2 linked regions of the Ovis aries genome follow. The protein of the gene in region 2 purifies or fractionates together with the protein of the main gene of each other region. This does not show direct contact. Links are inferred from orthologs where the notes say so. Each region holds a gene or a part of one and is shown on either strand. Other genes may lie near its edges.

The links. Proteins that work in one complex are often made in the same cells at the same time.
Region 1: the proteins of STRAP (region 2) and TGFBR1 purify together in Homo sapiens (affinity purification with western blotting; 3 studies listed by BioGRID and IntAct, with this or other methods). This does not show direct contact. The link is inferred for Ovis aries from reciprocal best matches to the Homo sapiens genes STRAP and TGFBR1.

Annotation. Positions count from the first base shown.
Region 1 is NC_056055.1:48,711,247-48,714,894, reverse strand, and holds part of TGFBR1 (TGF-beta receptor type-1), read left to right. Parts: intron 1-3,297; coding exon 3,298-3,423; 3' UTR 3,424-3,648. UniProt on the Homo sapiens protein: Transmembrane serine/threonine kinase forming with the TGF-beta type II serine/threonine kinase receptor, TGFBR2, the non-promiscuous receptor for the TGF-beta cytokines TGFB1, TGFB2 and TGFB3.
Region 2 is NC_056056.1:199,628,686-199,632,659, reverse strand, and holds the end of STRAP (serine-threonine kinase receptor-associated protein), read left to right. Parts: intron 1-3; exon of another isoform or gene 4-75; intron 76-1,617; coding exon 1,618-1,767; intron 1,768-2,127; coding exon 2,128-2,193; intron 2,194-2,883; coding exon 2,884-2,945; 3' UTR 2,946-3,456; downstream 3,457-3,974. UniProt on the Homo sapiens protein: The SMN complex catalyzes the assembly of small nuclear ribonucleoproteins (snRNPs), the building blocks of the spliceosome, and thereby plays an important role in the splicing of cellular pre-mRNAs.

The DNA of each region.
Region 1 (3,648 bases), on a different chromosome or scaffold from region 2:
TACTGTCATCCTGCTTATTTAGCTTATGTGTAGAGCACATCATGTGAAACGCTGGGCTGGATGAACCTCAAGCTGGAATCAAGACTGCTGGGAGAAATACCAATAACCTCAGATAGGCAGATGATACCACCCTAATGACAGAAAGTGAAGAGGAACTAAAGAGCCTCTTGTTGAAGGTGAAAGAGGAGAGTGAAGAGGCTGGCTTAAAACTCAACATACAGAAAACTAAGATCATGCATCCAGGATCATCACTTCATGGCAAATAGGTGGGGAAAAAATGGAACAGTGAAAGACTATTTTCTTGGGCTCAAAAATCACTGAATGGTGACTGCAGTCATGAAATTAATAAAGATGCTTGCTCTTTGGAAGAAAAGCTATAACAAACCTAGACAACATATTTAAAACAGAGGTATCACTTTGCCAACACAGGTCTGTATAGTCAAAACTATGGTTTTTCCAGTAGTCATGTATGGATGTGAGAGTTGGACCATAGAAGCCTGAGTGCCTAAGAATTTATGGTTCCGAACTGTGGTGCTGAAGAGTCCCTTGGACAACAAGGAGATCAAACCAAGTCAACCCTAAAGGAAATCAACCCTGAATTTTCATTGGAAGGGCTGGTGCTGAAGCTCCAATACTTTGGCCACCTGATGTGAAGAGCTGACTCATTGGAAAAGACCCTGATGCTGGGAAAGATTGAGGGCAGGAGAAGCAGGTGACAGAGGATGCGATGGTTGGATGGCATCATTGACTCAATGGACATGAATTTGAGCAAACTCTGGGAGATAGTGAAGGACAGGGAAGCTTGGCGTGCTGCATTCCATGGAGTCAGAAAGAGTCAGACACAACTGAGTTAACAACCATTATTATGATACTATTATAATATTGGTAAAACAAAGCATTTCCCTTTGGAGTTGATGTTTTGTAGTATAGGAAGAATAAAAAGCTGTTCACTTAAGTAGTTTATTTTACATCTTAAAAGTAGGACACAACTGAAGCGACTTAGCAGCAGCAGACTTCATTAGATACTTGTGAGATCAAGAGAGTTCCTTGGCTGCCTCCAATGAAATCCAGTATGCAGGCCCAGACAAAATATATTGTGTGCTCACAGAACCTGCATGTTTAACAAATGAAATTGGCCTAGATTTTGTCTTTGAAAAATTTCATCTTGACACTACAAACTGGAATTATTCATGCACTCATTCAATAAGCAAATTAGAGCAAATTAATATTAAACAGATGGCTAATTAAGCATGAAGTTAGTAGTTAACATTAAAAACATACATGCAAGTTGCAATTACTGTCGCAGCATGTTGAATTAATGCCATCACTGTCATTTTAGATTTTCTCTCGATTTAGCTAGTTTTGTATCACTAACTTAATCTTTCACTTTTCTTGGGTTTTACAAATCTCCCCTCAGTAGCTGAAACACATTGAGAATTTGAAACTGATAGGATGCCTACGGAAGTGTTTTTCAGAGCCCTCTGACCTTTTCCAGTCTGAAAAGCCAGTCTGGCTCTAGGCCAGCTTTCATCTTGGGATATCCCTCACCTTTCACCTGTGATCTCTCTTGCCTCTTCTGTGGTGACTGCCTTTCTGAATCCCATGTCTTCACATTTCTTGGTTTGCTCATTTATCCCCCTCTTCCAGCTCTTTGCTCAGATGTTACCTTGTCAGTGAGACGTTACCTGTCAATCTATTTAAAATAGCACTTTCCCCCCCCCCTGGCATATTTTATCTCCTTCCCTAAATGATGTTTCTCCTCAGCACTTAGCACGGACAGTCCATGCATTCTGCTTATTTATTATATGCTCTAGCCCTCTATAACGTAAGCTTTATGAGAGCAGAAATGTCGTCTGTTAGTTCACTGCTGTGTCTGTTAGTGTATCCTACCAGATGCATGTAGGATGGCATCTGGATTATGGCACTCAGTTTGCTGGATGATTTTATGCATGTCCTGAACCCTTGGTCATTTTTACCTGAAAACAAATGTTCATTTCTAGGAAATTTTCCTCAAGTATTCCCTTCCATTTTCCGTTCTTTTTCTTCAACTCTGGTTATGAATGTAGACATCCTGAACAGGCATTCTGATTTTCTTGTGTTTTTCTTCCTATTACCCATCTCTTTGTTTTCTTTTCTCTACTTTCTGGGAAAGGAATCCGCCTATATCTTTTGGTCTTATTATTATCACTCAGGTTTATCTTGTGGTTTCATAAAACTTTCCCCAAACCAAACAAAACCCCAAAAAAGTATTGATAAGTCCAGTATCAGTAATCTCTGAAGATATTAATGATGGATTGTTGATATTGTCTTCTATACACCTTTTGGTTTTTCCAAGGTGTTGTTTTCTGTGTCAGTTTCTGCATTTCATATTACTTTCCTGAAATGTTTGATCAAGCTCATGCTCTGTATAAAAGCAGCACTGAAAGCTGATAGGAAGCTTTGTGCACGTGAATGGAGCTTATCTTCCACTGCAGTCTAAGGGTGAAGTAACTGGATTGCTTCCTTGGGGAACCACTGATGTCTCTCTTTAGGCTTTTCTTCTTGGGCTGAAGACTCTTCTGGTCTCTTACCTGGAGGACCATGTAAAGTCACTGGCCGTGTTCTGGGGAGAAAGTTTACTGTCTTAGCATTTAGTGTGTTGTCAGTGTGGAATTTTGCCCTTATTTCCCCAAGACGGGAATCTGTTCTGCTCTCTCAGATTGAAACCTCTTGTCTTCTGTTCGGATGGGGTGGGATGGTCACCCAGCTGTGTGAAGTTGGGGCAGGGCAGGTATCTGGGTTTCCAGCTTCTTTGGCTGATTCTATTTTTACCCTGAACTTCACCCCAGGGATACAGGATATAAGTTAATTCCTCAGTTTTGGGGGCCATTTCATGTGAGTCAGGTTCTCTTTGCTTTGCACAGCTCTTTTGAGGATTCAGGTTTCTCAGGCTGCCAAGTAAATCCTCCTTTGTCCATCTGCTTTCCAGCTGCTGGCACCAGTATCCTGCTGATGGGAATTTAGGTCATCTTTACTCATTTGCTATTACAAATAATGCTGAAACAGAAATACTTGTATGTCGTTTAAAAAGAAAATTTACAGGTAGATGAGATGGCTGGATGGCATCACCGACTCGATGGATGTGAGTTTGAGTGAACTCCGGGAGATGGTGATGGACAGGGAGGCCTGGCGTGCTGCGATTCATGGGGTTGCAAAGAGTCGGACACGACTGAGCAACTGAACTGAACTGAAAGATTATTATCCAGGTCGTTGAAACATGGTGCATGCATTAATGATCTTTCTTTTCTTTTCTTGTAGGCCTTGAGAGTAATGGCTAAAATTATGAGAGAATGTTGGTATGCCAATGGAGCAGCTAGGCTTACAGCTTTGCGGATTAAGAAAACATTGTCACAACTCAGTCAGCAAGAAGGCATCAAAATGTAAATTCTGTGGCTTTGCCTGAACTCTACTTCTTCTTCAGATCTGCTCCTGGGTTTTAATTTGGGAGGTCAGTTGTTCTACCTCACTGAGAGGGAACAGAAGGATATTGCTTCCTTTTATGACGATGTAACAAGGTGAACTAAAACATCCCAGGATTTCTTCAGACCCAGGAAACTGCCATGTGGGGTCCTTTCTGTGCACTATGAACGCTTCTTTCCCAGGACAGTT
Region 2 (3,974 bases):
TCTTCCCTTGTGGTTCAGTCGGTAAAGCGTCTGCCTACAATGCAGGAGACCCGGGTTCGATCCCTGGGTTGGGAAGATCCTCTGGAGAAGGAAATGTCAACCCACTCCAGTACTCTTGCCTGGAAAATCCCACGGATGGAGGAGCATGGTAAAGAGGGGTCGCAAAGAGTCGGACACGACTGAGTGACTTCACTTCACTTCACTTCACTTCGCTCACTTGGTTTCTAGCTATCCTGCTTTACAGTCCAATGAATTTAAGCTTGTTAGAATTGTACACAGAGAATAAAACACAGTTTTGTTTTGTTTCTTTGGGAAAACTGATGGATTGTGTTGGGTAAATGGAACCTCAGTGAATACACTAAATAGAATCTATTTTAATTGTTCAGTGTTCATAATTTATTGGTTGAATATTAAGTGACTTAAATAGAGATTCTTTCCTGTTTTTATTTAATGTCACTTTTCAAGTTTTAGAATGTTTGGCCACATGTTTTATTCTCTGAAGAAGAGAAATTATTTGCTGGGTATCTGAGGTTGCAATTGGTGAATATAGGACCTTGGACGCAGACATTCTTATTTCAAAATCTCAAATTCTTTCTACTCTTATGATAATTTTTTATATTCATGATATCACAGTTGTGATATTCCCTGAGAGAAGCTTGTGCATGAATGTCTTTGAGTTGAGAGGACATGGAGACAGAATAAGAACATTGGTCTAATAAACAGTTTCAAAAACTGGTAAGGTGATGAGGTGTTAGAAAGTAAGTGAGAAAAGCTCGGAAATAAGGATATGCCTTAAACAGAACAACACCACTACTAATGTGTACATTTTCTCATTAAACTCTATATAGGATCGGTATTGATCCTTTATCTTCATACTCTGATCGAATGACGAGTGGACTACAGCTCGTCTGCTAGGAGAGTATGAGAGGCAGAGTGTGTAAAAGAGCTCCATCTGGTGGTTCTCTGTAGTCATAGTAAGAATTGCTTCCTTGGTAAATAGTGAGTTTAGGATTTGAAAATGGGGATTGAATTGGTAGACTTTAGACTTGCTTTCTGTAGACTTGAAGGTGGGGTGTCATTTACCTCCCTTTCTTTTTCTTTTTCTTTTTTTTTTTTTTTTTTTGGTTTATTTTAAGAGATTTCTAGATGTCTTTTTAAAATTTGTTTTTGGCTGTGCTGTGTGCAGCCTTTTCATCTAGTTGTGACAAACAGGGGCTCTTCTCTGGTTGCGGTGCTTGGGCTTCTCATACTGATCTCTCTCCTTGCAGAATACAATCTCAGTAGTTGTGGATTGTGGGCCCTAGGGCTTTGGCTTAGTAATTGAGACATGCAGCTTAGTTGCCCCGCTGCATGTGGAATCTTCCCAGACCAGGCATCAAACTCATATCCTCTGCTTTTCGCGGGCAGGATTCTTAAGCACTGGACCATCACGGAAGTCTCCTTTATCTTTATTGGAACATGAAGTCTTGTTTTTTTGTTTTGTTTTGTTTATGATGAGAACGACTTTAGTTTTAATTCTTTGACTTTGCCCTCAGGAATTTCACATCTTCTCTAGTGTATCAATACTTAATGTCCTGTTTAAGTATTAAATTATCTAATACGCCTTCTCTTTCTCAGAATCCTACAAAGGACACTTTGGTCCTATTCACTGTGTGAGGTTTAGTCCTGATGGAGAACTCTATGCCAGTGGTTCTGAAGATGGAACATTGAGACTATGGCAAACTGTGGTAGGAAAAACATATGGCCTTTGGAAATGTGTGCTTCCTGGTAAGAATTTTTATTCATAATTTTGTATCATTTTTCATTATTGATTCTGTCTCTGTTTCTATCTTCTTTAGAATAAGGTTTAAGCAAAGAGTAGCCTGATGAATAAATCATCCATTAATCTCTGAATACTACTACTTATTGATCCTTACTAGTAAAGTAGACATGTTTTTAATAAAAATGCTGTTATTGATCCCAGGTAGTTACAGTTTGGATCTAAAAGTCTGAATCTGAAAGATATACTATTTTAGAATTACAGTTATTAAAAAAAGGTGTTTTGGTGTACTCTTCTTGTTGTTAAAATACTAGAACTTGCTCATGATGTTGTAATTCATGTAATCATCATTGCTTTTCTTTTCATAGAAGAAGATAGTGGTGAGCTGGCAAAGCCCAAGATCAATTTTCCAGAGACAGCGGAAGAGGAGCTAGGTAAATACTAACAGTTAACTTCTGTAGGGTCCTGGAGGAAGTATTAGTTAACTCATTGGCAAAATCTATTCAATGTAAGCATATACTTAAATAATTGAAAGTTTAAATATATGTATATTTATATATACATATAAATACATAAAAGATAAATCATTTTAAATACCTACTGCATGGTACTAGCCACGGAGATGTAGCATGGAGATGACTGATATGGTTACTCTTAAAGAACTTAGAGTTTGACTTAGGATGCTAAAATAAACTGTTGCAGTTGTAATTTTTACTTAACACTTGTTAAGCACCAAGTGCTCTTGCCCAAATATAGAATTATAAATTGTAATGTGCTCTGATCAAATATAATATTGATTTAAATTCAAATCAATAAAAGGGAGCCAGATCTTCAAAAATTTGACTTTAATTCAGTGTCTACTAGACAGTTGAAGTCACTGAAAATGTAGCCCCAAAGAGAGCCCGCCTAGAGCGGAAGAGCTCGCTGGGAAGTGGTCAGGTCTTTCCTTATTGCTTCTTAGTGGCCTGGGCTCCTCACTCGTGGCGTGTGTACTGTTCTCTTCTGCTTCCCCTCACCAGCACGCTTGAAAAACTTTTGATTCATTCCTTAATCTCACAGAAATATAGAGTGACTTCTTTCCTTCCTTAAGTCGACTAATGTGACTTCCTGTTTTTGAATTGTAGAAGAAATTGCTTCAGAGAATTCAGATTCCATCTATAGTTCAACTCCCGAAGTGAAGGCCTGAGCATCAGGCAAATGCCACAGACAGTACATAACTTACGGACTAAAACAAGCAGAGAAAAGCGTCAGCCTCCAGAGTTACTCTCTGCTTACAGCGACATGAGCAGTAAATAATGAGGAATATGAATTAGCTCCAGTGCTGGAACTAACCTACTTGGTGATACCTATGAGTGAGAACACAAGAGTATCAGCTAAAGGCAGGTGGGGTTATGCTCTTATAATGTGATGGTCTGTTGTCTTTTTAATGAGTATGTGTAAGCCAACATCCAATTTCTCTTATTACAATTAGATTTCTTGTAGCTGTTTATGTTATTATGAAGAGGGAAAGTATATTGGCCTATTTTTCTGACTTTTCCCTTAAAAGCAGAAAGCTGGGTTTGTTTGTTTTTTTTTTGCTTTAGTTATAAAGAAGAGGGAATACATGATAAAGTAACAGTTTGATTTCTCTTTTATTGTACACTGCTTCTGAACATCTAATTGTTTTTAGTTGTCTCAATAAAATGGCTCTAAAACAATGCTGTGTGTGTTTATTGGGGAAATTGATAGATTTGAGTAGTTGGGATGTTTTGGCTGTGCCAGGTCTTGGCTGTGGCACTTGGGATCATTTTTTCAGTTGCAAATGCAGGCTCCTAGTTGCAGCATGTGGGATCTAGTTTCCTGACCAGGGATTGAACCCGGGCCCCCTGCACTGGGAGTGTGGAGTCTTAGCCACTGGACCCCTGGGGAAGTCCCCATAGATTGTAGTTTTATAAATGGAAATGGCCAGAAAGTTTTTCTATATCATGTCAAGAGACCACCCAGGTAAAGAATCTGTAGTGGACAGAAATTGTTTCCTGATTTTGAAATTTAGTTACTTGCACTGGATTTTTGAAGTCTTCATGTGCTTTGGTAGAGTTTTATATACCTTTCTCCCTCCTAAGGTGAAGGTGAAGGTGAAGTCGCTCAGTCGTGTCCAACTCTTTGCGACCCCATGGACTGTAGCTTACCAGGCTCCTCCATCCATGGGATTCTCCAGGCAAGAATACTGGAGTGG